4 linked regions of the Callithrix jacchus genome follow. Each later gene encodes a partner of the first gene's protein in a complex. Links are inferred from orthologs where the notes say so. Each region holds a gene or a part of one and is shown in the gene's direction. Other genes may lie near its edges.

Evidence for each region.
Region 2: the proteins of GPSM2 (region 1) and NUMA1 are in contact, whole or in part, in a crystal structure (PDB 6HC2), measured with the Homo sapiens proteins. The link is inferred for Callithrix jacchus from reciprocal best matches to the Homo sapiens genes GPSM2 and NUMA1. Residues at the interface, in NP_001307967.1 of Homo sapiens: Ala28, Leu29, Glu32, Cys35, Lys36, Phe47, Lys59, Thr60, Ser62, Ala63, Ile64, Ser66, Gln67, Asn70, Ala71, Phe73, Asn110, Lys113, Tyr146, His153, Lys157, Pro164, Gln165, Arg203, Gly206, Asn207, Asn210, Tyr213, Leu214, Arg228; in NP_006176.2 of Homo sapiens: Ser1901, Phe1902, Tyr1903, Met1904, Gly1905, Thr1906, Cys1907, Gln1908, Asp1909, Glu1910, Pro1911, Glu1912, Leu1914, Asp1916, Trp1917, Asn1918, Arg1919, Ile1920, Ala1921, Leu1923.
Region 3: the proteins of GPSM2 (region 1) and FRMPD4 are in contact, whole or in part, in a crystal structure (PDB 4WND), measured with the Homo sapiens proteins. The link is inferred for Callithrix jacchus from reciprocal best matches to the Homo sapiens genes GPSM2 and FRMPD4. Residues at the interface, in NP_001307967.1 of Homo sapiens: Leu25, Ala28, Leu29, Glu32, Asp57, Lys59, Thr60, Ser62, Ala63, Ile64, Ser66, Gln67, Asn70, Phe73, Tyr74, His85, Asp88, Ala92, Gly100, Lys103, Asn107, Asn110, Thr111, Lys113, His128, Arg143, Tyr146, Asn147, Asn150, His153; in NP_055543.2 of Homo sapiens: Gln988, Leu989, Leu990, His991, Ser992, His994, Met995, Glu996, Met997, Glu998, Pro999, Glu1000, Thr1001, Met1002, Glu1003, Thr1004, Lys1005, Ser1006, Val1007, Thr1008, Asp1009, Tyr1010, Phe1011, Ser1012.
Region 4: the proteins of GPSM2 (region 1) and INSC are in contact, whole or in part, in a crystal structure (PDB 3RO3), measured with the Mus musculus proteins. The link is inferred for Callithrix jacchus from reciprocal best matches to the Homo sapiens genes GPSM2 and INSC. Residues at the interface, in NP_083798.2 of Mus musculus: Asn210, Tyr213, Leu214, Phe218, Arg242, Ser246, Asn247, Asn250, Ile253, Phe254, Tyr265, Gln283, Tyr286, Ser287, Asn290, Thr291, Thr293, Leu294, Arg323, Trp326, Ser327, Asn330; in XP_006507722.1 of Mus musculus: Val72, Asp73, Ser74, Val75, Arg77, Trp78, Met79, Asp81, Leu82, Lys83, Leu84, Met85, Thr86, Glu87.

The regions. Positions count from the first base shown.
Region 1 is NC_133508.1:146,805,349-146,812,411, forward strand, and holds the end of GPSM2 (G-protein-signaling modulator 2), read left to right. Parts: exon of another isoform or gene 1-3,648; intron 3,649-4,306; coding exon 4,307-4,546; 3' UTR 4,547-5,030; downstream 5,031-7,063. UniProt on the Homo sapiens protein: Plays an important role in mitotic spindle pole organization via its interaction with NUMA1. Required for cortical dynein-dynactin complex recruitment during metaphase. Plays a role in metaphase spindle orientation.
Region 2 is NC_133511.1:68,941,059-68,947,590, forward strand, and holds the end of NUMA1 (nuclear mitotic apparatus protein 1), read left to right. Parts: intron 1-247; coding exon 248-476; intron 477-1,099; coding exon 1,100-1,236; intron 1,237-1,633; coding exon 1,634-1,810; intron 1,811-2,082; coding exon 2,083-2,199; intron 2,200-2,309; coding exon 2,310-2,522; intron 2,523-2,846; coding exon 2,847-2,858; 3' UTR 2,859-3,500; downstream 3,501-6,532. Other genes in the region: IL18BP (interleukin-18-binding protein), read right to left, coding at 4,450-4,533, 4,766-4,913, 4,995-5,081, 5,500-5,566, 5,711-5,917, 6,235-6,262. UniProt on the Homo sapiens protein: Microtubule (MT)-binding protein that plays a role in the formation and maintenance of the spindle poles and the alignement and the segregation of chromosomes during mitotic cell division.
Region 3 is NC_133524.1:12,940,857-12,948,222, forward strand, and holds the end of FRMPD4 (FERM and PDZ domain-containing protein 4), read left to right. Parts: intron 1-830; coding exon of another isoform or gene 831-835; coding exon 836-2,160; 3' UTR 2,161-4,785; downstream 4,786-7,366. UniProt on the Homo sapiens protein: Positive regulator of dendritic spine morphogenesis and density. Required for the maintenance of excitatory synaptic transmission. Binds phosphatidylinositol 4,5-bisphosphate.
Region 4 is NC_133511.1:81,124,947-81,132,474, forward strand, and holds part of INSC (protein inscuteable homolog), read left to right. Parts: intron 1-4,856; coding exon 4,857-5,028; intron 5,029-6,184; exon of another isoform or gene 6,185-7,528. UniProt on the Homo sapiens protein: May function as an adapter linking the Par3 complex to the GPSM1/GPSM2 complex. Involved in spindle orientation during mitosis. May regulate cell proliferation and differentiation in the developing nervous system.

The DNA.
Region 1 (7,063 bases):
TAGATGGAGGAAGATGAGCTGGCAAAGTAGCAATAGCCGGAGAGTTCGAAGGATACCCCGAGCATGCGATGTGGTGGAAATCAAGTGAAGAATGTATCTTAAGCAATGTTCAGCTGTGGCAAATGTTGCTAAGAACCTGAGTCAGATGATAACTGAACCTACTAGATTTGGTAACATGGAGTTTATTAATAATTTTGAAAGATACTGTTTCAGTGGCATGGTGGGGACAAAGGATTGAGTGGGGTGAGAAAATAGGAAGTGTGAAAGAGGATATAGTAAATATAGAAAACTTTAATGAGTTCAGTGGACTATTAGCTAGAAAAGAAGTATAAGGCAAAAAATTTTTTTCTTATTTTGGGTGATAATAGAGTTTACAGACAGAAATAGTCAAGTAGAGAAGGGAGCCGGTGATGTACGTAAGTCTGGGATAATTGAAGAACAGTTTTTATGTAGGTGACAGAGAAAGCAGAGTACAGATTTGGAGATGGGAGCAAGTAGGAATTCTCTCTGGCTGCTTTTATTTTCTCACCAAAGAAGTGTAGAGTCATTCATTAAGATTGGGGTTGGGGAGCACTATAAATTTGAAGAGAAAGGAAGTGAGAAATAGTTGACTTAGAGAAACTGAAACTAGTGGAAAAGTTTTAAGAATACTGTGCTGTACTAAGAACCCACCTGAGGCCCAGTGCAGTGGCTCACGCCTGTAATCCAGCACTTTGGGAGGCAGAGGCAGACGGATAACCTGTTTCTTCTAAAAATACAAAATTAGGCTGGGCGTGGTGGCTTATGCCTGTAATCCCAACACTTTGGGAGGCCAAGGTTTCAAGACTAGCCTGGCCAACATGGTGAAACCCTATCTCTACTAAAAATACAAAAAATTAGCTGAGCATAGTGGTGGGCACCTGTAATCCCAGCTTCTGGGGAGGCTGAGGCAGGAAAATTGCTTGAACCTGGGAGACAGAGGTTGCAGTGAGCCAAGATCATACCACTGCTCTCCAGCCCAGGTGACAAAGTGAGACTCCTTCTCAAAAAAAAAGAAAAAAAAATATCCGGGCATGGTGGCACATGCCTGTAATCCCAGCTACTCGGGAGGCTGAGGCAGGAAAATTGCTTAAACCCGGGAGGTGGAGGTTGCAGTGAGCTGAGATCACACCACTGCTCTCCAGCCCAGGTGACAGAGTGAGACTCCTTCTCAAAAAAAAAAAAAAAAAAAAAATTATCCGGGCATGGTGGCGCACCCCTGTAATCCCAGCTACTCGGGAGGCTGAGGCAGGAGAACCACTTGAACCTGAGAGGCAAAGGCTGTGGTGAGCTGAGATTGCACCATTGTACTCCAGCCTGGGCAACAAGAGTGAAACTCGGTCTCAAAAAATTTTTTAAAACCCCACCTGAAGCTCAGTCACTGGAAGCAAAACTGGTGAGTGAAGCTGTGTATTTTATCCAGTCATAACCAGCTGCTTGAGGCAGAGAGATAAACCAAGACTGATATTTTGCCAGGAGAACTGGATATAGGGGAGAGACTGGTAGTTGAAGACATGTGCCAAGAAGTGATTTTAATAATGGACTTTAGAATCCAGGCTGTAAGAAGGAAAATAAAGAAATGAAAGGTGTGAAGTAAAAAGTAGCAGTGGTCTCAGTAGATTCAAGGAATACTAAAGATATATAACAAATCATCAAGATATCTGAAGCAAAAATTAACAGAATTGAAGGGAGAAATGGAGAGTTCTACAAAAACAGTTGAGGAATTCAATATCCTGTGCTCATTAATGGATAGGACAACTAGACGGAAGATAAGGAAATGGAGGATCTGAAAAACAGAGTATGCCAACTAGGTCTAACACGTGTATATGGCACACTCCACCAACAACAGCAGCATGCACAGTCGTTTTAAGTGCACATGGAACATTTTCAGGTCAGTCCACGTTAGGCCATAAATTCTCAATAGATTTAAAACATAAAAAGTACCTTCTCTGACCCCATGGGATAAAATAAGCAGTAACAAAAGGAAAACGGGGAAAACACAAATTTGTGGAAATTAAACAGACTCTAAAACGACTAATCCATGAAAGACATCACAATGGAAATTGTAAAATAGAGACAAATAAAAAAATATACTAAAACGTATGGGACACAGCAAAGGCAGTGCCAAGGGGAAAATTCATAGCTGTAAATGTTTACAGTAACAAAAGATCTTGAGTCAACAATCTAACTTTACAACATAAAGAACTGAAAAAAGAACAAAACCCTAAACTAGCAGAAGGAAAGAAAAATAAAGATTATAGCAGAGATAAATAAAATGCAGAACAGAAAAAAATAGAAAAAATCAATGAAGCCAAGACTTTTTGAAAGTAGATTAACAAAATTGACAAACTTTTGGCTAGACAGACTAATTTTAAAAGAAGATTCAAATTACTAGAAATACAAACTTACCAAGAAGAAATGATGAAGAAACAGAAAATACACCATAAGAAGGAGGTTACATCAGTAACAGAAAACCTGATAAAAGCCCTGGACCCGATAGCTTTACTGGTGCATTCTATCAAACATTTAAAGAACTAACACCATGCCTTCTCAAACTGTTCCATCCAAAAACGGAAAGGAGTTCTGTCAGCTTCTGCCAAGGCAGGCGGATCACAAGGTCAGGAGTTTGAGACCATCCTGGCCAACATGGTGAAACCCCATCTCTACTAAAAATAGCTGGGCGTAGTGGCATGTGCCTGTAATCCCAGCTACTCAGGAGGCTGAGGCAGTGAGCTGAGATTGTGCCACTGCACTCCAACCTGGCAACAGAACAAGACTCTGTCTCAAAAAAAAACAAAAAAGGCAACCAAGATAAAATATTTGGAAATCACATATCCAATAAGGGATTAATATCCAGAATATATAGAGAACTCCTAAAACTCAACAGAAAACAACTTGATTCAAAAATGGGCAAAGAAAAGAATGGGCAAAGAACTGGAAAAGGCATTTCTATGAAGATAACAAGAGGTTAGACTATAACCATGAGAGCCAGATGGTTAAGGCTGAAGTGAAGGAGAACACTAAATCAGAAGTCTAGGAACTGAAGTGTTCAAGTGTTGGGTTAATTGGAGGACACTGAAATTATCAACTTAGGACAGGAGAAATGAGTGAACCAGGTATGTGTGGAGGCGGCACTGACTTAGGGCAGTTAACTGTACCCTCTAAGGGTTGTGGGAGTAAATGTTGAGGGATTTATGTGCTTGTCACTGTCCCCGACAATGTATTGGTTACTCAAATATCAGCTATCACATTTTTATTCTTATCCTTGAGCTACAATGCCAGCATCTATGGTGTATACTTGTTAGTGCTTGTACATTTTATTTGATGAGTAGCGTGTCTAATGTAAGAATCACAGTCCAGGCATGGTGGCTGACACCTATAATCCCAACACATTGGGAGGCTGAGGCAGATGGGTCACAGGTCAGGAGATCAAGACCATCCTGGCCAACATAGTGAAATCTGGTCTCTACTAAAAATACAAAAAATTAGCTCGGTGTGGTGGCAGGCACCTGTAGTCCCAGCTATTCGGGAGGCTGAGGCAGGAGAATCGCTGGAACCCAGGAGGCAGAGGTTGCAGTGAGCCGAGATTGCACCACTGTACTCCAGCCTGGTGACAGAGCAAGACTTCGTCTAAAAAAAAAAAAAAATTCAGTCTGGGCTATTTCTTAACAGATTTAACTGCCTAAGACAGAGGCAGGCAAACTTTTTCTGTAAAGGGCCAGATAGAAAGTATTTTACGCTTTGCAGGCCATATGGTCTCTTTTGCAACTGCCCAACTGCCATTTAGTAGGAAAGCAGCCATATAGACAATATATAAACAAATGTATTGATGGGAAAATGAAAATGACACCTCATTTACAGAAGCAGGCATTTGCTGTCTCCTAGCCTAAGATGTGATTTTTTTAATGTGGTTCCTCATGGATTTTGTACATATTTCTAAAGACTTGGTGTTGCCCTGTTGATGCGTGTTAGTTTAGAACCTAAAACTGTTATATACAGTTGACCTTGTCTCAGATTATTCCTTGTGACCAATTATAATTAAAATAGTATGACTTAATATAATGCACATACTAAACCCATGAAGCAGCTATTCTTATGTAAGCAGCTATACTTAATTCATTTTTTAAAAAGAATTTTATGTAGTTTGAGGTCTAAAGATTAATTTCTGAGAAGCCAAAAAAATAGCTTACAACTGCATTTTCTTGTTATGACTGACAGAGATATTACATAGCTTCATGCTTTTTTTCCCCACAGTATGTCTTTAAATTTCTTTCTCATAAACTTTTAGGGATCCAGGTTAGATGATCAAAGATGTACTCCGCCACCTGCTACCACAAAGGGTCCGACAGTACCAGATGAAGACTTTTTCAGCCTTATTTTACGATCTCAGGCAAAAAGAATGGATGAACAGAGAGTTCTTTTACAAAGAGATCAAAACAGAGACACTGACTTTGGGCTAAAGGACTTTTTGCAAACTAATGCTTTGGTGGAGTTTAAAAATTCAGGGAAAAAATCAGCAGGCCACTAGTTACTATGGATATATTTTTTTCCTTTCAGAATACGGTAAGGAAACAATCTATTACTTCTTTCCTTAAAAGAAGAATTTATAGCTCTGTAATACAGCTTACAATATTTTTAGAATAATGTAAATATTTAACCTTCAGTAGTCTATTATTAAGGCTTTAATACTTCTCTGGACACTCACGTGTTTCAAGGTGGAGGTGTCCTGTAAGGTGCTTCATCATCTGTGATTATTACTTGGGATGTGTTCTTTGGCAGCTTGTTAGATTACTTTACCTAGTGTTTGTGAAGTAGGAAGTTAAATGAATCATAGATTAGAATTTAATCCTCTTACAGAAGTTTTTAAAATCTTAATTGACAATGGCATTTTTTAATATACAACCATGGATGTAGTGGGAAACAATGCTGTTTAGTAAAAATAATGTACTTGACCAATGTAAAAAAGTATATAAAAGTCTTATTAAAAAGCTAGGTTTTTTTCTCCATGAAAATCTATTTTCAGTACTTTTTAGGCCAAAGCCAGTATAAAGAAACTCTTAAGTAAACTTCTTGGGCTAGGCATGGTGGCTCATGCCTGTAATCCCAGCACTTTGGAAGGCTGAGGCAGGAGGATCACTTGTGGATAGTTCAAGACCAGCCTGGGCAACATAGTAAGACTGCCATCTCTATGAAAAATACATTAGCAGCCAGGTGCAGTGGCTCAGGCCTATAATCCCAAAACTTTGGGAGGTTGAGATGGGCAAATCAGTTGAGGCCAGGAGTTTGAGACCAGCCTGGCCAACATGGTGAAATCCCGTATCTATTAAAAATACAAAAATTAGCAGGGCTTGGTGGCACGCGCCTGTAGTTCCAGCTACTTGGGAGGATGAGGCAAGAGAATCGCTTGAACCCTTGGGAGGCAAAGGTTGCAGTAAGCCAAGACCAAGCCACTGCACTCCAGCCTGGGTGAAAGCTAGACTCTCTCTCGCTTTAAAAAAAAAAAAAAAATTATATATATATATATATATATATATATATCAGGCATGGTAGCACACACCTGTAGTCCCAACTACTTAAGAGGCTGAGGCAGGAAGATCACTTGCGCCCAGGTGGTAGAGGGTGCACTCCAGCCTGGTGACAGAGCAAGACCCTGTCTCTAGAAAACATATCTTTTGTATGTTTTGGCTATATGTTAAAAAATATATACATATGTATCATTTAAAATGGTCTCTTCTGTTCCATAATACTGCTATAAAACAAACTTTTGTTAAGTTATCATGTTTAAAAAAAAAAATGGTTAGATCAAGAACCTAGAACACATAACAGAAAACAGATGACAACTCACAGAAATTCAGTATGAAAGATGTCAGCTAGAACTTTAGTGGTCATTAAGCCTTGTCTTCCTTATCCCAGATACTTAAGGCAGTTCAGAAGGGGAGGATAACAGAGTAACTGTAGCAAAAGACGAGAATGGGACAGAGCAGGGCCTGGAGTGATACTGAATCAGACTGCAGAAGCCCACCCCTGGAACAAGCTGGCAGTTTGTCCCACTCTGCTTGCACAGCTGGGATGGGATCTGGGGATGTGGACCCCTGTTCAGAGTCACTCGGGTGATTTTGATGGGCAAACAGAACTACTTATCTAAATGGCCAATGTTTTTTTTTAAAAAAAAAAAAAAAGTCAAAATCTGGAATTACATTAAGGGCTGAGTTGAAACATGGATCACATTATGTTTCATGTATACTCTTAGGGTATGATGTCCTGGATAGCATTTTAAAAACTCAGGTAAGTTTCATGGGGCTTTTCTTATAAGAAAATTCAGTAACACAGTATACCAAACCCCAATGTAAAAATAAGTTTATTTTATGTATACAATATAGTTCTTACAGCCTGTAAATATTCAACATCATTCCATTTAAACATTGATTTTAACAGCTGTCTACCTTGTTTTGATTTTCCTAAAGCTTCCCACTATATAGGCTGGGCACGGTGGCCCATGCCTGTAATCGCAACACTTTGGGAGGCTGATGAGGGTGGATCACTTGAGGTCAGGAGTTCAAGACCAGCCTGGCCAACATGGCAAAATCCCATCTCTACTAAAAATACAAAAATTAGCCAGACATGGTGGCGCACATCTGAAATCCCAGCTACTTGGGAGGCTGAGGCAGGAAAACCGCTTGAACCCAGGAAATGGAGGTTGCAGTGAGCCAAGGTTGCGCTGCTGCACTCTAGCCTGGGCGACAGAACAAAACTCTCAGAAAAAAATAAAATTTTAAAAAAGCTTCACACTCTAAACCTTAATTTTAATGACATATTGCCTAGTCAATAGACAAGCCTTACGTCTTTTCTGGTAATAAACTGGCCTTATGTGTTCAGTTTGCTTTCATATTTAAGTCTTTCCTGAATTGCTGTCTTCATTCAATAGCAGCTGCATGGTGCCTTGCTAGGTGTCAAAGTAGGTTTCGTCCCCAGATGGATATCTGTAACGAAAGAATACAAAGGTAAAATTTTACTTCACATTTTTAAAAAATTTTTGTTTTTGGAT
Region 2 (6,532 bases), on another chromosome or scaffold:
CCTCCCTTAAAGCACTGTGAATAGACTCGATGAAAAAAATGCACAGAAAAGAGCCTTGACAACATCAGCACCACCCTGTGAGGGCTTCTGTCAGTAAGGCCTATATCTTGCAAACAGACACGTTAAGGACCTTTGCAAAGCAGTTGGGAGGATGTGCCATGGAGTCTGGGTGCTTTGGGAGGGAACAGGAAGCTTCTTTACAGTGCCAGAGTCCACCCCACTGCAACAGATTCATTCTCTTTTCCAGAAGCTAGATGTGGAAGAGCCAGACAGCGCTAACTCATCCTTCTATAGCACGCGGTCTGGTCCTGCATCCCAGGCCGGCCTGCGAGCCACCTCCTCTACTCAGTCTCTAGCCCGCTTGGGTTCTCCCGATTATGGCAACTCAGCCCTGCTTAGCCTGCCTGGCTACCGCCCCACCACTCGCAGTTCTGCTCGTCGATCCCAAGCTGGGGTATCCAGTGGGGCCCCTCCAGGTGAGGGGACTACAGGGACTTACTATACCCAAAAATTAGACTGGAAGGTGGATCGTGGCACAGGGAAAAGAGGCAAATTTTTAAAAAATCCAAGGCTAGCCTCCTCGCTACTGCCCAGTAGCCCCCTCCTTCCTGCAGCCCCAAGGGCCTTCCTTACCTGTCCATTTCAGGGCTGGCTGTTTTGGGCACTCTTAGCCAGAGTGAACCAGGGATGCTCACTAAGGGCCTGGGAGTCCCAGCACAATCTTGGGGAGTCCTCTGTACCCTTCTCAGGTGGTGATGGGCTGCTAGAAAGGTCAGGCTGGCCAGACTCTTCCTGGAGGCTCTTGCCCTTTGGGTACCAGGGAGCCCTTGGGAATCAATTCCTTATTTTGTTCCTCTGGGTGTTGGGCACTAAGCCTTAGTGGGTAAGATGTAGTAGCAGCCTCTGTGTGTGGCCTCTTCTGCCCTCTCCAGGGAGAAGGTGGTGAACAAACCCCTAGGATAGAAATAGTCTGTGTGCCTTACTCCTGCACCTGCAGCACTGAATCAGACTGGCTTAAAATTTACGGGATAGGTGACAGCAAAGGCTGGCAAGATGCCAGGGTGAGCAGGTGACCTGCCAACTTCCCTGCCCTCCACAGGAAGAAACAGCTTCTACATGGGCACTTGCCAGGATGAGCCTGAGCAGCTGGACGACTGGAACCGGATTGCAGAGCTGCAGCAGCGCAACCGAGTGTGCCCACCACACTTGAAGACCTCCTATCCCCTGGAGGCCAGGGTGAGCCCTGGGGTCACTGTGCAGGGCCTCCGATCCCTGCCCTCCCTTGAAATCTCACCTGCTGATCTAGCCTGAGCACTAAGGCCCTGGATCCCTGACTGGCTGAGGAGGGGGAGGGTGACCTCATGCTTCCAGGCAGAACAGCCAGCAGGGAGGGCATTCAGGAGTGAAGTCCCTGGGGGTGGGCAAGAGCTCGGAGAGGAATCTGATTAGGACTGCACCGCTTGTAGCCATTCACCCAGGGCGTAGGTTTAAAGTGGAACAAGGGAGGCCTCGTGAGGTAGGAAGGGTCCACCTACCCTAAGTGCCAGGTGAGTGCAGAGTCCTGGGACACCCCCAGGTCCTGCTCCATATCCAAACAGCTACAGTCCACTGACCACCTCTTCAACTAATGCAGCCTTCCCTGAGCCTGGCCACCATCTCAGATGAGGAGATGAAAACTGGCGACCCCCAGGAGACCCTGCGCCGAGCCAGCATGCAGCCAATCCAGATAGCAGAGAGCACTGGCATCACCACCCGACAGCAGCGCAAACGGGTCTCCCTAGAGCCCCACCAGGGCCCTGGCACTCCTGAGGTAGGCACAGTAGCTCCTGGGTGTTGCTCCAGCACTGTGCCCAGGTCAGGTCCAGCTCACCAAGGACTAAAGGGAGCCTTTCCTATCTCCCCCTCTCTCCAAGGGCCTAGTGCATGGATGGGAACTGCTGGGAAGGGAAGCCCTCTGGCTCAGAATTGGGCAGCAGGTTGCACAAGTTGACTTAAAAGGTCCACTCAGCTCTGTGAGAACAAGATGCCTGGCTTCAGATGTGACTCTTGCTACTGTCTGCCTAACTGTCCTCTTCCCCATAGTCTAAGAAGGCCACCAGCTGTTTTCCACGCCCCATGACTCCCCGGGACAGACATGAAGGGCGCAAACAGAGCACTACTGAGGCCCAGAAGAAAGTGGCTCCAGCTTCTACTAAACAGGTGAGGCTGGGGCGGGGGGGAATGAAGCGATGGCCTGGTGGGACCTTGCCGGCAGAGCATCGCACAGCGGGCTGGCCTGGGAAGGCCAGTCTGACAGCCTTTCCTTGCAGGCTGACCGGCGCCAGTCAATGGCCTTCAGCATCCTCAACACGCCCAAGAAGCTAGGGAACAGCCTTCTGCGGCGGGGAACCTCAAAGAAGGCCCTGTCCAAAGCTTCCCCCAACACTCGCAGTGGAACCCGCCGCTCTCCGCGCATTGCTACCACCACAGCTAGTGCTGCCACTGCTGCTGCCATTGCTGCCACCCCTCGAGCCAAGGGCAAGGTAAAGGCACTGGGGAGGGAAGCCCAATGAGAGCATAGACACCCCCCAGACCGCCCCAAGGAGCAGCATCCAAGACAGGGCTACTCTAGGCTGCTGGAGGGTGGTGGGGTAAAAGGTGTCCCTGTCCTAGTAGCTACTCGTTATCAAGGAGAGAAGACAAATGGCCCCATTCGCATGGAGAGCACCCAGAGCTGCTCAGGCATAGCCAACAACTGATAATCCGGGGGCTCACAAAGGATGGGAGCAGGAAGAGGTCTTCCAGGCCAGTGGCTGCAGGCTGGCATCCCAAGTTCTCATCTGGCCATGTGTCTGTGTCTCTTTCAGGCAAAGCACTAAACGGCTAGTACCAGAGAGTGGCCCCACCTGTGTCCCCGATGCTGACCTCACCTGGTCTTCCTTCTACTGTCCCTCTCAGTGCCTTCTCTCAGCTCCCAGGCCAACAGTAGCCAAAACCCTAGAGACAGTAATGTCTGCCTGCACCCTGGCCTGGTCCCTGGACGCCTTCTCAGAGCTGGACCAGGAAGCCTGGAGCATGGACAGTGTGGGTGCTCTCCCTACCTTGCCTCCTTTTTTCTTAGAGCAAAGTCACTTCTCCATCACGACCAGATTTGAGGCTGATGGCTGGGTCCTTGGGCCTAGCCAGTCTTCCTCTCAGCCTCTGGATCTAGAAGGGACCAGAGGAGGAGTAGGCCCTGGTTCCTGCTCTCCCGGTGGCTGGGCCTAGCAGGGGCCCTCAGTCTTGATGTCCAGGACTGGATATGGTGGGAACACCTGCCTGAGGATGCCCTTTTCCAGCACGGATGGGCCCTGTGGCTCAGGTGTGGGGTGGAGGGATAGCCTTCAGTGGCAGCTCACACCCTGCCTTCCCCAGACTTGCACTGGGGTGGGATTTGGAGTGATGGGAAGGTTTTTAAGGGCCAGGGATGGATCTTTTCTAAATGTTATTACTTGTAAATAAAGTCTATTTTTCTCCCTTGATTACTGAGTTGCCTTGATCTAAGTGGGAAAGGGTAGGGGGGAAACCTGGGTTCTTTGGAGCCTACCTTGTCCCTGCTGAGTCTTCCAGACCACCTCCTTCCTCTCATCCCTTTTCCTGGGACCACATCTTTCTTTCCAGGATTCCCACTCTCCATTACTGGCCTCTGCTCCTGGGGAACATGGGCTGTTCTCTCTCTTCTTTTTCAAGGGCCTGTGTTCCCCTGAAGCTAGTTTTGTCTTTCGCTTCTGTGTGGCAGTCCCTCTCTTCCCATACTCCCTCCTGGGACAGGCAAAGTTCCTGGGAGTGAAACTGAAGCCTAAATGAACAGATGTCAGGATACCTCCATTGAATAATCCTTTATGAGGACCCACGTGGGGATAACAGAGATACAGTGTGGATCTGAAGCAGCTGCTGCCCCCATCCCTTCCCTGGAACAGTCCATTAGAGTAAAGTGGGGGGAATACAGCATGAAGACTGAAGTCTGCAGAATAGCCAGAGCTGAAAGCGGGTGACTTCACTGAAGAGGCAGTGTTTCAACCAGGCTTGAAAGTTCCCCTGTTGGGGTGGTGAGGAAGGCGGGACCAAATGAGCAGAGGCATGGGAGTGGGAGCTGTCTGGGAAAAGCAATAGTTGGAGGCCTCCGGAAAGTCACATGGGAAATGTAGGCAGGGCCCTGGAGTGCAAGGCTAAGGCATCAACAGTCGGTTTCAGTGGTTTCTGAGCAGCAGAGCAGTGTGAGGAGCAGGACATTAGGAAGGGTGGAGAGAATGGCAGGAGGAGGAGCATTATAGGGAGGCTGTGATTTCCTAAGTAGACGGGAATGGAGTTTGAATTTGGTGAGAGAAAGAAACCAAAGCAGAGGAGAAGGGGGTGTGCTGCTTGCCCATACAGCCTGCAGGCAGTCAAGGACTGTTCACTCCAGGTAGGTAGATAGGACCCAGGCTCCGGTCAAGGTTGTGCTGCTGCTGGCCCTGGGCTGTGGCTGGAGGGCAGGGCTTCTTGGGTAGGGGGCAAGGTTGTCCTCAGGCCAGCCTAAGGAAATGAAGGCAGATGAGGATCAGGCCAAGGAAAGGAGGGACACATCTCATCACTTTGCCCCAGGCTACACCTCCCCTGTTTTAAGTTCCTTTTTGTCTCCTCAGGCTGTCCTTGAGGAATTCTGGACATTAGTTTAGAGGCTGCTCTGGCAGAGCCCACTCTTTCCTCCCCACATATGGAAACAGAGCTCCTCCTCTTCCTGGAGGCCTCTCCTTAAGCTCCTCACCCAGAGCTGGGCCAGAACGACGTAACGCTGGACAACCTGTTCGGGGTCCACGAGTACACAGGAGAAGTTGGTGCTGTGCAGGGCAGGGGTCAGCTGCTCCAGCACCAAGGTCCTGCTCAGCTGTGTACCTGTGCTCCGACGCTCCCACCTGGAGCAAAAAGGAAAGAAATGTCATGAGGACCACAGAAGGAGGCCTCCTTCCCACCCATCTGGCTGCTGCAACCCTCACCTGGTGCTGCCCTCCCACAGGCCTGGAAGGTGCTCAATGAAGGAACCATTGCCCAGCCAGTAGAGGATGCTGAAGTGGGGGAAGTGGCTGCAGGCAGTACAGGACAAGGTCAGCGTTCCATCTAGGGACACAAGCAGCAGTTAGCCCTCCTGAAGAGCAAGCCCTTTCCCTGGCCTGCTCTGCTGTGCCCTCCCTGCCAGCTCCCCCTAGGTGGGAAGGTGTGTTAAAGGGGAAGTGCAGTTGTCTCCAAGAGGCCCTAGCCCTAAATAGGGAATATGGGGAAGGGTCCTTGGTTCATGTGATGACTCCTCTTCTGAGTCTGTCTCCTCGGGATGACCTTTTCTAGTACCCAGTCTCTGTGACTCTGGAGCCCAGGTGACCGAGGCAGTGCTGGGTGGCTACTGCTCCTATGAGATGGCTAGAGGCCAGTGGGCTCTGGGTGAAGGGGCTGGCCTTGGAGTCCACTGCAATCAAGGCTCTGAGAGGTCCTGTGACCATTACTTACGTCTGAGTTCTCTGTCCTATTTGATAGGGAGCATCTTGGGAGCTGCACCAAGCCCGTACCCATGACCCTGGGTTATGGAGGGAGAATGTGGGGGTTCAGCCCAGCTGGCCCAGTTGGTGGTGCATGGCAGAAGAGGGCTAGTGCTCAGGAGTCAACCCAACCCTGGGAACCTCTGTGCCCACAGCCTACCCCCAACCACTGTGCTCCTTACTCAGTGGCAGTTCCACCTCTGGCCAGGTCACCTCCAATGCTGGACACTGCTTTGCTGCTGGGAACACTGGGGGCTGGGAGGAGCAGGGGTCCTTTGTGCTTCTAGCTGAGGCAGTGGCAGCTGTGGTGTTCTGTGAGACAGGTGTGGCTCTGTCCAGGAGAGTGATGATGTGGGCACACAGGAGCAGGACCCACAAAGGACTGGGGACTGAGGAAAGGACAGTCACAAGTCAGTGGCTGGGCTGCCTGGGAACGCTCAGCATCATGGCTTCTATCTGGAGACAGAGTGGGCTGCCCAGGTAAGGATGTACCTTCAGCCCAAAGATGTCTGGGCTCTAGCCAGGGAATCAGAGCAAAAGAGGGGCCTCTCAGCACCCACCCCTTTATTGAGTACAGAGAAGCTTTGGAATGGAGCCAGAGCCACAGCATCTGCCTTGGGGTGAAGGCTCCGGGTTAGCCTACCGCTCCATTCTGTTCATAGACCTCACCCTACCCTGCCTGCCCATGGGCAGCCCCAAGGCCTACCTGGTATCCACTTCTGTCGCATGGTCATGATGCTGGTAAGCTTGGCTCTCTATCTGTGACAACGTCCTCTTCTCTGGTGAAAGGTGGGGGAGGAGAATCGTAAACCACTGCCACGTTTTCTCAGTAGCTGGCTTTTCCTCCCGTAGCATAGCCTGGGGCTCTTTCAGTGACAATCCCCCCCAACCCCAGCTCTCATGACCAAAAATGGTAAGATGCTTACCTAGTCCAATCTTACCCCTTCATTAGGGAGGGCAAAACTGAGACCCAAAGAGAGAACAGGGACTCACCCAGTCACCCT
Region 3 (7,366 bases), on another chromosome or scaffold:
TAGAAACAAGAACACATCCACCTGCTCTATCCCACCTTCACCATCCCACCACTAAATGGCACGCATTCCCCTCATTGATCCACTTGGCTGGCCATCGCATGGCAAAAACAGATACTCTTTCATACTTTCGTGTTCCAACTGCATCTTTACCTCTAAACTAATGAAATCACACTATTTAATCCTTCATGGTTTATAACGAACTTTCACCTGAGTTACCTCTTGCTTGTCACAAAAATTTTGTGAGATGGGAATTACTTGCTTCACATCACAGCTTTTCTTAAGGAAAAAAATTGAGCAACTGGCCCAGTGTCTTAACTTCATACCTTGTACCAGGCAAACCTCATACTCCCTCCTCTTTAAAAGATTTGTTTATTTCATTTGCATTAATTAGCCCACTTCTTTAAAAAGGAGAAAGTAACTAATGCCAGGTTTAGCCTAATTCCCTGGAAATGAAACTTGATATCTTCAATATATTAGAATAATCTATACATAGGATCTGTGTTTTCTGTGTCTAAATTTTCAAAGGTAGATACTGGGAGCAAGGCAATTCATGAAATAACTGTCTCCTTGAAAATGTTTGGAACTTCTAGACAATTCCAAATGAATCATCAGTCCAGAAATAACAGATTCCAGTATTTTCTTGATATTCATTGAAATGGAAATTTGCTAGGAGGTATCAAGAGGCAATCTTTGGAAAGCGGGGTGACCTTGGCATATGGCAGCCCTTCCAGACTACATCCTTGGGAATGACAGACATCATGTAGAGATGTAGTAAAAATGGCCTCACAGGAGATGCTTAATTATTCTCTCTGTTTTTCTACTACCCCTAGTGTAGCTTTGACAGAGCCTGGGAAGGAGAGACGAGGAGGCATGCCTTCAGCTTGGTCTCAACATCCTGAAGCTGATCCCATCCTGCTACCATCAAATATTCACTCGGAATCCAAGGTGCCAATTCCAAATCAAGACCCTAATGATTTCTCCCAAGCAAATCAGGCATACGGAGAGGCTGTGAGCTGGCGGCCACCGGATCTGAGAGGGGGGAGCCTCAGGACACCCCCCAGCCAGAAGGCTCTAAGACATAGCAGCAGTATCCTCTCCGGATCTGTCGATTTGGAGACCTTCCGAGAAAGAACCAAGGGTGCAGTCAGCTTAAAGTGTCCAGGCATCACAGAAGCACAGGAGGCCAGTTCTGAAAGGCGAGCAGAACTCCCCCTGGGGAGGAAGCTCACCAAAAGTTTTTCCCAAAGCTCGATGCACTTGAGCTCTGAGGGGAGGTTTCACAAAAGGTCCCCGGTGGCTCTTAAAGACTCAAAGCTGTATAGGACATTACCCTTGCGGAAGCTGGAGGGCAGCAATTGGAGATGTCGGGGACCCTTCAGCTATTGCTTCCTGAACCGAGGGCAGGATGAAGATGGCGAGGAGGAGGAAGAGAGGGGAGAGGCCACCGTCCAGGTCTCTTGCCTCTATAGACCACGGATGACTCAAGCCATGCCAGAAACAAGCAGCCCACAAGTGGCTGCAGGGATTCAGAAGCAAGGAGGGGAGCTATCCAGAGGGTCAGTGCTGAAGGTCTGGGCAGAAGACCTGAGTGGCCCAGATGACTTGGACTTCAGCAACCTGGCTTTTGATGCCCGGATTGCAAGAATAAATGCCCTAAAGGAGAGCACATATGCAATGCCTGATGGGTTCCTTGCAGCCCAAAATGATGCCAATGAGCTGCTCTGTCTCGTCAGGGCAACCAAGGAGAAGAGAGAGGAGTCACGCCCTGAAGCGTACGACCTTACACTTTCTCAGTACAAGCAACTGTTATCCATCGAGTCCAGACAGTTGGGAAGTGCCTGTAGGAAAATGGCGATGGCCGAGAAAAGCCCGGAGGAGATGCTCCTAGCTATGACTTCCAGCTTTCAAGTGCTCTGTTGCCTAACGGAAGCTTGCATGCGATTAGTTAAAGTCGTGAACTCAGAAACACAGCGGCAGGAAATTGTAGGGAAGATCGATGAAGTGGTCATAAATTACATTTGTCTCCTGAAAGCTGCTGAAGCAGCCACTGGAAAGAACCCTGGGGACCCTAATGTTGGACTCTCGGCGCGACATTCAACCACCATGGCCGCTCTCGTAAGCACACTGACACGTTCTCTCAAGAGGCTTTTAAACAAATAAATATGGAAGTCACATCATAATCTACCTTTGCAAAGCCATACATGAACTTTTATTTACTTTGTGTGTATGATGAACAGATGTCTCCTTTCTTCTCTCTGTATATTTGTTATTTTATATAAAATAGGAGATAAAAGTCACATTGATGAAATGTTGAAATGTACTAATCAGATGTATTCTGTTTATATTATACATATATATACACGTAAAAGAAATATCCAAGAAAGTGATGACATTTGGCTATTTTTCATATAGTTAAAACCCCACATACATGACGTGAAATTTTAAATTCTACCATGTTAGAGCGAAACAATGAATCCTATCCCCTTTCTTTCCAAGTAAATATTTGGAGACCATATCATTCATATTTACAAGTAAAACACACAAAAAAATAAAAGAAATCACAATGTATATAAAACAGTACTTATGTTTTAAAATTATGATTTTTAAGCATTGGAAATAGCAAAAAGATTTAAAATTCAAGAAGCTATTAATTACTAGAGAATATATCTGTAATAAATTAATTTTTTGCTCATAGTATTTGGTTACTGGATGCTTTCTTCCAAAAATCCCACATATTTAATTTGAGTTTTTGCTATCTGGGCTACAAATGGGTGGGGCGTATTCTACTGTGTCAGCACAAATGCTCTTCACAGTGTTTCCAGCATTTAAAAAACTTCCCAGGGAGAAGAACAGAGGGAATGATGGGCAGTTTCCTAGGTAACACCTAGAGTTATACAATATCTCATTACATAAAACGTATGGAATAATACCAAAATTAATTATTTGATGGAGAGATCTGCTTTGACTAAATGACTAAAATCTCCAAACCAAAGATACTATCTTCCCCTCACCCCAACTCAACTATGGAACTTAAAATTCCCTTTAGAGTGGTGGGACATTGAGTAAAGTATCTGCAAACTTACAAAAAGGAACATTTAATGATCATCAAAATTAAGTACAGATTCAGCAGTGTAGACGAGACCATACCATAAACGAGCACCTATGAGTCTCATCTCAGATCACAGCTCTCAGCATAGGGCTTCATGCATCACCACCTGTACAGAGGCTAAGGCTGCCAATCAAATTTGGAATTATATCCTGGTACTGGGACAAAATCTCAAATATTGTATGTTCCAGAAAATCAGGGAGAGATGGCTACTGTAATCATGGGAGCCATGAGTAAATAAATAGTAAATATTAAATACTGAATCTGGATTGGCTGATAAAAATATGAAATCTGGAAAAAAGAAATGAAAGTGGTATATTTGACCAGTTCAAATGAAACCAATGGAATGCAAAGAATTTTCCAGGTCTGTCATGTCTCTAAAAGTACCCTGCAGTCATAAAATAAAATCGACATGTATATACGAATTTCCTGGGTCATTCAGTGCTCAAGTTACATGCACTCTTACATAGATAGGTGGCTCCTTAAGATGATGACGGGAGTACACCAGATGCAAATATTTTTGCTTTTATAGCCTACTGAGGAGGAGGCCTAACACAGTCCACAATTGCAATCTCTCTCTAGTCAGCCATTCCACAGAGACAACAACAAACCCACACGTGGTTATGGATGGCAGCGAAGGAAAGGAGTTTAGGGTGTGTTATTATAAATAATGTTTAACTAAATAATAAAACATTATTTCATTACAATTATAAATATTGGTGTTTTGATATTGAGAGATATTAGTGGTGTTTACTGTGGAAAATCTTAGTAAATATCATTCTGTGTACTAAAATCCTAACCTATTAATAGGATGTGTGCCCTATGTCAGACAGTGTGCTAAGCATATTAACTATATTATCTCATTTAATCGTCACAACAGTCTGCTGGTTTGGACACTATCCTTTATTCTCTCTGGAGGCAATATGGTTGCATTGCTATGGATATGGAGTTTGGGGTCAGAAACATCTTGATTTAAATTTTGACTCTGCCATTTTCTAGCCCTTTCATGTTGGGAAAGCTACTTTTTCTAAATCTCAATTTCCTCATAATAAAATGAAAATCAGTTATAAGATCGATTTCCATAGGGTTTTCATGGGTTTTGAGTAAAAATGTGTATGTAAAGTTCTTATCACAATACCTGGCAGAGAGTAAGTATTCAACTAATGTTAGCTATTATCATCATAATCGTTGTGTTAAATATATTGCCCAAAATATGTGGGGGTATGTTTGTTTTGTATGCATATTGTATCCTGACTGTGTGCAGAACACATTATGTGGATTGCATATATGTAAAAGAAGTGTACAAGGAAATGACCATCCTTGTTCAAGTCACATATCTAGTTAGAACAACTTCCCAGTCCATTACGAGTTCTTTGAGAAGCCTCAGGGAAGTAGCTCTGGGTCTTTCTAATCAACCTCCCATTACTGCGCCAGTAAGTTTCTGTTTCTTATAAATAAACTTTGCTATTCAGAAAACCTCAAGGGGCCCCCACATTCACTAAGCATGGGGCTCCCAACTGGGGTCCAGGTCCATAGAGTGTAGGAAGAACATATTAGAACAATATCTGTGCTTATTTTTATCTAGCTTTTTTATGTTTGTGTATGTTTTATAATGGCATAATAGTACAATGGTACATGTACATAATTTTAAATAAATAAATAAATGAATGAATGAATAAGCATATGCCTGGTGCATGCATGCAACAATATTGCAGGCAGGGTTGCATTCACTGAAGTCTGGAGGGCACTGAACTAGAGAATAAACCTTCCTTACACTCACGGTTCTTTACATTTAGTCCCCAGTCTACTTTTCCAAGTTGATCTCCTACCATTTTTGTTACTCTTCTCTCAGAAATCTTTCAAACATCAGGTACCGATTCATGTCTAGTCTTCTTTTCTGTATCACCTCCTCTCACACTGTATAATTTAGAAGCAAGTCCCAGGCATCATAGTGCTTAGCCCATGAATATTTCAGTAAGAATATCCTGCGGGAATTTTTAAACATAACCACAATGACGTTTTGGCATTTTAAAACTTGGGAGTTCCTCAGTATTATAAAATAAACATTACAGAAATAAATGATGGAGAAAGTGAAACTCGCCTATAAACCCAACCTCCAAAGAAGCCATTGTCCACAATACTTTGTTTCTTTGTTTCATCTTTCACTGTATTATACAGTTATTAGTATTTTATTTGTTTATGAGCTTTGCTTTTGGCTCAGGGAGTTGTTCTGACCACAGTTGCCCTTGTACCTGAGTGTCAGTGCCAGCATATTTCACGTAAGTGGATTGCTCAGAAGGGATATGATTGATGTGGGAAGACAGTGCTCAGATCAACAACCACATAGCATTAGCTTTGAGAAAAAAAATCCAAAAACGAATGTAACTGCTCAGATATTAACACAGATCCCACTGACCTTAAGGTCAGCAGAAATGAGTCTAATCACAAATTACTTTCCAGAAAAGAAAGCCTGAAATCACTAGCTATAGCAACACTACAATGGCTCAATTCCTTTGGCTATAAAATTTATCTTTCATTATGATTTATCTTAGGAAAGACAATCTTCATCTGTTTGTGTTCTGCTTTTATATATTTCTAAATGCCTGTCATTAAACTATCTGAATGTTACTTCCGAGTGACTCAGGACAGAGCTCTAATTTATCCTGCCTGAATTATCCTTGATTTGGCAGTGGAGGCGGGGCTGTTTTTCCCTTTTTACTGGTTATCACCCCTCAAAATTGTGTGGGATTTGAAATTGAAAACAAATCACCTATGTTCAAATTATTCCTTATCTCTTCCAAACATTTAGAAACCTTCCTGGGGATCAAAGTACATTAATATTTCAGGGTACAGTGGTGTGTGCCTGTAATCCCAGGTACTTGGGAGGTTGAGGCAGAGGGATTGCTTTAGTCTGGGAGTTTGAGACCAGCCTGGGCGACACAGACCTCGTTTCAAACAAAACCAAACCAAAAACAAAAAGTAAAAAAAAAAAAAAAAAGACAAAAAATAGAAGGGAAAAAAAATCCATGAATATTACATTGTCTCTAACCCGATTTTGTCTTTGCTTTGACAGTGGTCAATTTTGATTTGTATAGACAGCGCAGTGGGGTAGGGGGGTGCATGCACACGCGCACACACGCCTGTGGGTATGTGATACTAGCTATCAGTTTGGCTTTATAGATTTCAGTATTAACTCCCCCTCTACCAATGCAAAAACTGTGAAAAACAAATTTGTATGAAACATCCCAAATCTTCTTTTAAAGTCAGATTGCAGGAATAGCTTCTCAGCTTTGACAGATCAAAGACTAACAGTCTCACCTTTTGAACTGAATTTTTTGTTTTGCTTTATTTGGTTTTGAGACTGACTCTCACTCTCCCGGGCTGGAGTGCAGTGGCATAAACTCGGCTCACTACAACCTCCACCTCCCGGGTTCTAGCGATTCTCCTGCCTCAGCCTCCTGAGTAGCTGGGCCTACAGGCGTGCACCACCACACCCAGCTAATTTTGTATTTTTAGCCCAGACAGGGTTTCGCCATCTTGGCTAGGCTGGTCTTGATCTCCTGACCTCGTAATCCGCCTGCCTCGGCCTCCCAAAGTGCTGGGATTACAGGTGTGAGCGACCGTGCCCGGCCTCCACTGAATTTTTATTCATAACCATCTGAATATCATTAAATTATGAACTTTTTATTTATTCCACCTACACCCCGGCCTATGCATCTCACTTTTTAATTTCGAAGTCTATACATAGGAAATCCACAGAAGAACAATCTGTCTTTATCCAATATTTGTTGCTACACAAAATAATGGAATGGCTTAAATCCTATATTGCAGAAAGAGATAATCAAATATCCAAAGTAACTTACTGTACCATCTGACTTCAAATTAACCCGCTTCCTTCCGCGAAATTGTCTATATCACTGCATCTCAATTTTCTGTAACACATTAATTTCAGAGCACTGGGTTTTGGGGTTTTTGTTTGGGGTTACTTTTTCATTCTCTGTGTTAATCTGCATTTTCTACTCTAAAGTCCGGACCAAAATTCTGTGCCATTTGTGGCATCATTCACTACCATAGGCAGAATTCACTTTGGTAGTGGATGTATGCGGGATTGGTGGAATTGAGCTCTCTTGGTAACCTCCAGCCATGTATTATTTCTGCTGTTTTCATTTTGATTAGTTTCCATTGCCTATCTTGCTTTTTCATTAATGATCAAGTACTCCTTCCTGTCTCCCACTTAAAGGAAACAGGAAGGAGTCTCCT
Region 4 (7,528 bases), on another chromosome or scaffold:
GATGTCTAAACAAGTGGTTAAACTTTGGGCCCCAATCCAAAGAGCTGAGGTTTTTGGTGAGGTCTCAGTCCCAAAACAATGTATAGAAAGGAGCTCTGGAGACAAGCCCAGTCAGGAGGCTGGGACAGGCAGAAGTGGGGTGAACCTAGGATTCAGGGCCCCAAGTCTAGGAGCCACCAGGTGGGGAGGGGAGGGAATGATGGTGCCCCATGTGGCAGGAACTACACATGCAGTCTCTCATTTGATAATTCCAATGGTCCTCTGAAGTTGTTACTTTTAGTCCCATTTTATAAAGAGGAAAAACAATCTATGAGATTGGTATTATCCCTGTTTTACAGATAAAAGCCCAAAGTAGGTGTATTAGTCTGTTCTCACATTGCTATAAGGACATACCCATGACTGTGTAATTTATAAAGGAAAGAGGTTTAATTGACTCACAGTTCCACAGGACTGGGGAGGCCTTGGGAAACTTATACAATCATGGTAGAAGGGGAAGGAAACACATCCTTCTTCACATGGCAGCAGCAAGGAGAAGTGCAGAGCAAAGTGTGGGAGGAGTCCCTTATAAAACCATCAGATCTCATGAGAACTCCCTCACTATCATGAGAACAGCATGACTCAATTACCTACCACCAGGTCCCTCTCATGACATGTGGGGATTATGGGAACTATAGTTCAAGGTGAGATTTGGGTGGGGACACAGCCAAACCATATCCGTAGGTAAGAAAATTGTTCAGCTAGTAAAGTATAGAGGCAGAATTCAGACCTGGGTAGGCCTAACTCTAATGTCTGTGCATATTCTGACTCTATAGGAATTGCCTCAGGTGCTGGGAAGCCCAGACCCCAGTGATGTGGCGCACTTGAGTAGTCTCCTTCTGTGGTGAGCTGGGCTGTGCAAGAGAGATGGTAATGAATATGAAGATCAACTTGCTGGCAGCAGACCAGGTGGCTGGTCAGCAGCGTCAGAACCAGACACTAGGAAAATTTGGTCCCTATGAAAAGACGCTTTACTAGTAAAGTGAGCAAAACATACAAACAGACAATTCATAGCAGAGAAGATCCAACCTGCAAAAAACAAAAGCCAAAACAAACCAAATCAAAACAAAATAATGATATTAAAAGTCTCTCAACCTCATTACTAAGTGGAGACATGCAGGTTAAAATAAAATTTTTATACCTATAAAATTGGCAAAAAATGTAAAAATCTGCTGATATCAAATATTGGCAAGAATCTGGTGTTAAGTGTGATTATGTATTGCTGGTGGGAGTAAGAATTACTACTACCATGTTGCACAACAATTTGGCAATACCAATAAAGCTAAAGATGTGTAAACACTAGGCCCTAGGAATTCCACTCCTATATTGGGACCTCTGAAGAAACTGGCACATGTTCACTAGAAGGCATTTAGAAGAACATTTATAGCAACACTGTCCATTATAGCAAAAACTGGGAAGCCACTCAAACACCCATCGATGGGAGAATGCATAAATGAATTGAAATTGATTTATACAATCAAATACCATACAACAGTGAAAATAAATGGATCATAGCCACATGGAACAACGAGAAGAGGTTCATAAACAAATGCTGACTGGAGAGAAAAGTAAATTGCTGTATTCAACATGATACCATTTATGTCAAGTACAAATCTTGTAAAACTAACAGTGGATATGTGCAATAAACCTCTCAGGAAAACAAGGGAATAATATGCATAAAACTCAGAGTAACAGCCCATGCAACAGGAGAAATCAGAGGTATGAGATCAAGAAAGGTGTGTAGGGGACTTTCTTGATTTTATTTCTTAGAATTTCTGGATATTAGGCATATACATCTACACATACAGACGTTCATTTTATTATTTGTTATAATTTATTCATTATCTATCATTCATTATTCATTATCTTAATCATTATGTCTATCTATCTATCTATCTATCTATCTATCTATCTATCTATCTATCTATCATCTATCTATCTCTTTTGAAGGGATAATTAATAAGTTACCAAAAGAGATCTGAAGCATATAAAACAAATTGCAAGGAAAGCAAGACAATGGGAAATTGGCAATTGTATAGACAGAACTCCACAGATCCTCTGGAAACCAAAGGACAGTGAAGGAATCGGGTTTACATCAGGATGGGGTCACTTTTCTGGGGTCAAGAATTGATTTATGTTCTCATGCTGGCTGTTTCTCCAATGCTGTCTTTTTCTATAACTGCCTTTGCTCACAATAGCTCCTCCATCTGCAGTGCTATTCCTTTAGCTTTGCTTGTCTGAAGTGTGTCCTTAAGTATTAGGTCAAATTTTACTTTCTTGTATTTATTTTCTACTTACGGAAAGCCTACTACATACCAGACCTGAAGCAGCCAAGAGTTAACAAGCTGTGGTCCCCAGGCTTGCAGAGATGGCAGGAGAACAAGAGAGCAGACAGACAAAGGAGCAGAGAATCATACTATAGTAGTGCTTTTCCGAATTGCTGGCACATAAAAGTCAGCTGTGGAGCCGTTAAAAAGCAGATTCTCAGGTGTCCCTGGCAATTCTGGCAGACTAGGTCTGGGTGGGGTACATTAACTTGCTCTTAAGAAACTCTCCCTGAATTTGATGCAGCTGGTCCACAGACCTCACTTGGAGAAACGGCTTGTTGGTGTGATAAATGCTACAACAATAGCAAAGGTGCTTGGGCATGGGAGCCCCAAAGAGGGCCACCTCTCCCACCTGAAGCATGGGCATTAAGTCAGAGTAGCTTCCAGGAGGCCCCTCTGTAGAGCATCCTCATTTGTTATTTGTAGATGTGAGTCATCTTCCCCCACTGCAGGGAACACTGTTCCCTGGTTTACCTTTGCTCCAGCACAAGGCTTGGCATGCAGTATATGTCAGGAATGTTTTATTCAATGGGATTTCAGAGCAGCAGGCTGGACTAGGGAGCAGGCCTAGTATCCAGGCCTTGGGTGGCAGCAGGCCCTGGGGACCAACAACTCCTTTGTCTCTCTGGTGTGTTTAGATTGGCCTATCTCCAAGTATGTGTTGGGGACTAGGGAAGGTTACTCGTTTGGGTCTGACTGGTATTCATGTCTGAGCTGGGGACTAGGATAGCATCTGCAACCATGTTGAGATTAAGGAGATGGGATTGATTGAGACATTTCCCCACTAACAACCCTATAGCTTCTTAGCAATCAGCTTTATCTGTGCTAGAAGAAGGAAAGGGATGAAGGCCGGATGGGGCAAGAGGTTTCTTATGTTGGCAATAGGGCCGCTTCCTGCTTCTAGCCCCCGCTTCCCTTCCCTTTTGCAGGCCCAAATGAGGCCCCCCTCTGAGGGCCTGTTAGTTAAACACCTGGCATGAGTCCAGTTCTGCCAGGGACTGCCTGGCTGCTGTTTGTTCCCTTTTATTAAGCACATCCAGGTGAGTTTTATTGCGGACAGTTCCCTGGGCTCCTGTTTCCACATTTGTCTCCTTTGAGTCTGAGATTGCCAAAGGCTTTCACAGCTAATGGACCTTACAGCTCCCAAGAGCCATTTAAGGGAGGCACAGAACTCAGTGGTGGTAATTAGTCAAACGAAACGCAGACCTCTGGAAGCCCACTGGAGCTAAGTGTCAGGAAGATGTAGGGACAGAAGCCTCGGGTCTGTGGCAGGTGTAGGGAATGAGCATGGGCTGCACCTCCCCCCACCTCTCCTGTTCTTCCCCCGCCTCATCCCCTACCTCCTACTCCTGACCTGAGAAGGACTTGGTGCTTGGTAGCAGGGTCCCCAGGCAGGCTGTTGTCTAGGGCATCTGAGGGTCTGCAATAGCACGGCGGAGCTAACCGTGACAAGCTCCTGCCTTCTTTTTCTCTAACAAGTCTTGTATACTGACCCTGATGGAGGCTGAAGTCTGAGCTCAGGTGCCACTTCTTAGTAGGCAGGATAATATTCTGTTCAAAACCTGGGCTTTGGCACCAGACCATTGTGTTCAAATGCCAAACCAACTACTTTTAAAGTTCTTGATCTGGGGCAAGTCTATGAAAGTTTCTGTGTCTCAGCTTTCTTGTCTGTAAAATTGAGATAATACTGACTTCAAAGGGTTATTGTAAGGAATAGATTGTATAACATCATGTTCACTCTACATAGAGCAGTACCTGGCATACTGTAAGCACGTGCTCAGCAGCAGCTGTTATCATGCCAAGAGCAGGTCTGACTCGGGCAGAGCTTGAAAACATGTTCTTATCTGGAATTCATGTCCCATCAGTTTCAGGTTTGCTTCTCACTGGTTGGGCACAGAAAGCAAGGCCCCCAAGGAAGCAGCCCCATTTCTATGGATGGTGGAGGACAAGATGGGGAAGAGAACCCTGAGCTCATCCTGTTGCTAAATCAGAGGAAGGGAGGAAGGAGCCAATATTTCTTGAGCATCTCTTCTGGATCAGGCATTGCCTGCTTTATCTCTTAAATCCCCCAATACCCTGTTGAAGGGTGAGGAAATAGAATATCAGAGAGGCTAAGTCACAGAGCAAAGAAGAGGGGTCTAAAATTGGAGCTTGGGGATGTGAGATTTCTAAGTGACTGTTCTTTCTGTGGCAATTTGCTGTGGTATCACCAGGGCCCTGTCTCTGGACACAGGACTTTATGTCTGCTATTTAGAAGACCCATGGAAGTTTACTGATCTCTGCTTGAATCAAAGAAGAGGCCTCCAGGTGCCAGAATTTGAGTCATTCTGAGGGCCTTGTCACTGGATTGTCCCTGGCTCTACATGTAGTCCTGGGCTGTTCTGGGAAGGCAGAGCTGGCTTACATGGAGGGGGCCTGAATCTGTCTCATTAATGTCATGGGCAGTGGTGTCTTCCTAGGGTTCACAGGGAAGCTCCCTCTCTCCATCTGCAGGTGGATGGCATTCTGTGCTTGGCCAACATCCTGACCGACGACAGCCACCCAGAGGCCACACGGGCTGAGGCTGCGGCTGTGGTGGCCCAGGTCACCTCCCCACACCTGCCTGTCACCCAGCACCTCAGTAGCTTCCTGGAGAGCATGGAGGAGATCGTGACAGCCCTCATCAGTGAGTCACCCTGGGCAGTGGGACCACTAGGAGAGAGGGCATTGGGACAGTTGTCTTCAGGAATAGATAGGAAGGCCTTCCAATCTGCCACTCGTTGCACCCCAGGTATCTCCTGTATAGATGATCACATTTGCTGAAATCCCACCATTAAGGGATCAGAATTAGGCTTTGAAGACCTCTATTGTCAAGAGTTTCTTATTAAAATGCATGCAGCCCTCTGAGAAGCAAGTTGAATTATTGTCAGTTTGGGATTAATTGGCATTTCAGAAGGGAGACCAGGACAAGCCCCAGAAAGGAATGGAGCCTCAAATTTTGAGGTTCAGATACTTGGATAAAGAGACTCTGATAGGCATTTTTCCTAAATTCTCAATCCTTGTACCCAGTGACTATCACAGTAATGACTGGGGCAAATGGTTTCTCAGAGAGCACTAGCTCACCACAACCTGCTTCCTGAAAATCACACCATTGGTCTCTCATCATGGGGCCGTGAAAGTGCTGACTCTTCTAGGTTCACCTATTCAAACATATGCACTGCTAGCAGGAGAATCATAGCTCTGTATTTAAAATATGCTCTTTTCTTAGCTTTCCTTTGCTAAGCTATAGAAACTGAAAGGGCTGGTCTGGATAACAATCCCCAGGGAATTGTTTTGTGAACCACCTCTTTCTTTTAAAAGTGCTGGTGGTGATGTGTGTTTCTATTTCTCTGTCACTCTCTTTATATCTATATATTATTGAAATTTCATTTCATTTCATCAGGAAATGTAAGATTAACTCTTGGAGTCACCATACCAGGGCTGGGAATATCTGAAATAGCAAGAACTTAGGGGCAACATAACACTGGGCTAGGTAGGAGTCAGAACCCTGGGTTTGGACTCTAGCTTTTGACTCATGCATTCAAGTGGCTCTGGGCAGCAAGTCTGTGCCAGTGCTGTGTGAGATCCCACCACTCACTCCTTACCATATCTCACTGTAAAACCCACTTCACAATTTTCCTAACATAAACAAGACATTGCAACTTGTTTCTCTCAAGGGTCCTTCTAACTCTAGAATTTGGAGATCTGCAAGTACTTTGCACAGAGGAGACATCAGTTATGTTGACTTTATGGCTGATTCTAGTCATGGGGGCAGTAGCACTCACAGGTCAGGCTGGGAGAAATCAATTTGCCAATGTCCACATTTATTCAAAATTGAGAAAACATGGAAGCCCATTGTTGAAAGTCTTGGCTAGAGGGAGCTCAAGAGACCCTATAGTTCCTTGCATACTCTCTAGGTGAAGAAATCTAAGCCTAGAGAGGTTAAGTTACTTTCTCAAGGTTACACAACAGCATTAGGACTCACTTATGCCAGAGTCCCATATTCAACATCCTCTAGAGCCCAGTAAGAAACATGAATGTGTTGAAGAGCACCACATGGAAGAATAAAGGTGTTTGAGACCTGTGTCAGATTGAAAAACTCATGCAGTGTCTAAAGGGATGGTCACTGGTAAATTTCAGTTGATTGTTACCATGTGGGAAAGGCATAGACTTTTAAAGATGAGACAAAATTTGTAAATTTTATAGAAAATTTCTCTACTTATAAACATTATCAAATAAACAAAGTACATATAGTCCAAGTGACCTTTCACTATTGTCATATATTCATTCTTGCTTTACTTCCCAGGCTGGGTTTCTCCCTGGAGCCAAGGAGTCTTCCTATTATTTCATCCTGATGAAGATGCATTGTAGAGTTCACTCTGAGATTCAGCAGATATATTCCGGGCAGGAAGCCATACTTCTGCTCTTTGGTGGGAAATAGCCCTCCAACTTCTTGCCATTCCCTGGAAACATTTATAAATGAGTCACTGGAATCCTCAATTTAATCTTCCTAACACATCCCAGGTGACTCAGACTGTAGTTCAAATAAATGTGCAGCAAAATTAAAAGGCACTTAGGTAGTTGTGTTAATAATTGCTGTGTCAGCAGCAATAGCAACTGAATGAGAATTAGGAGGAGTGTTTGGACCTAGAAGGAATCTCACAGGAAAGTGGGCCACCGTGCTCTGTAGACTCACCCAAAACCTTGGATGTAGGGAGGTGACCTGGAAGGGACTGGAGACTCCAGTGATTTTCCCAAAATCAGAGGATGGGACAATCACTGGATAAAGGGAATCAGAGTTCTTAATATTTCAGCTAATCTGTTGTCCCAGTCCTGGTGGTTGGATCAAGAGTTTGAGTTGTTTAATGGTCACACCTGGGCTGTGGGGAGCAACATTGCCCAGAGGCAAGTGTTTCCCTCCTGATAGAACTGAAACCCACATCTCTGGAAGCATCACTGGGAATGAGCCAAAGAGGCTGAGAGACCAGAAGTAACCTGGAGAATAAAAGAATGGGGACTTTGGAGTCAGGCAGACCTGGATTTGATTCTAGCCTCAGTCAGTTACTTATTGGCCATAAGACCATGGGCAAGTCACTTAATATATGAATCTTCAATTTCTTCATTTACAAAACAGTGATAAAAATGGG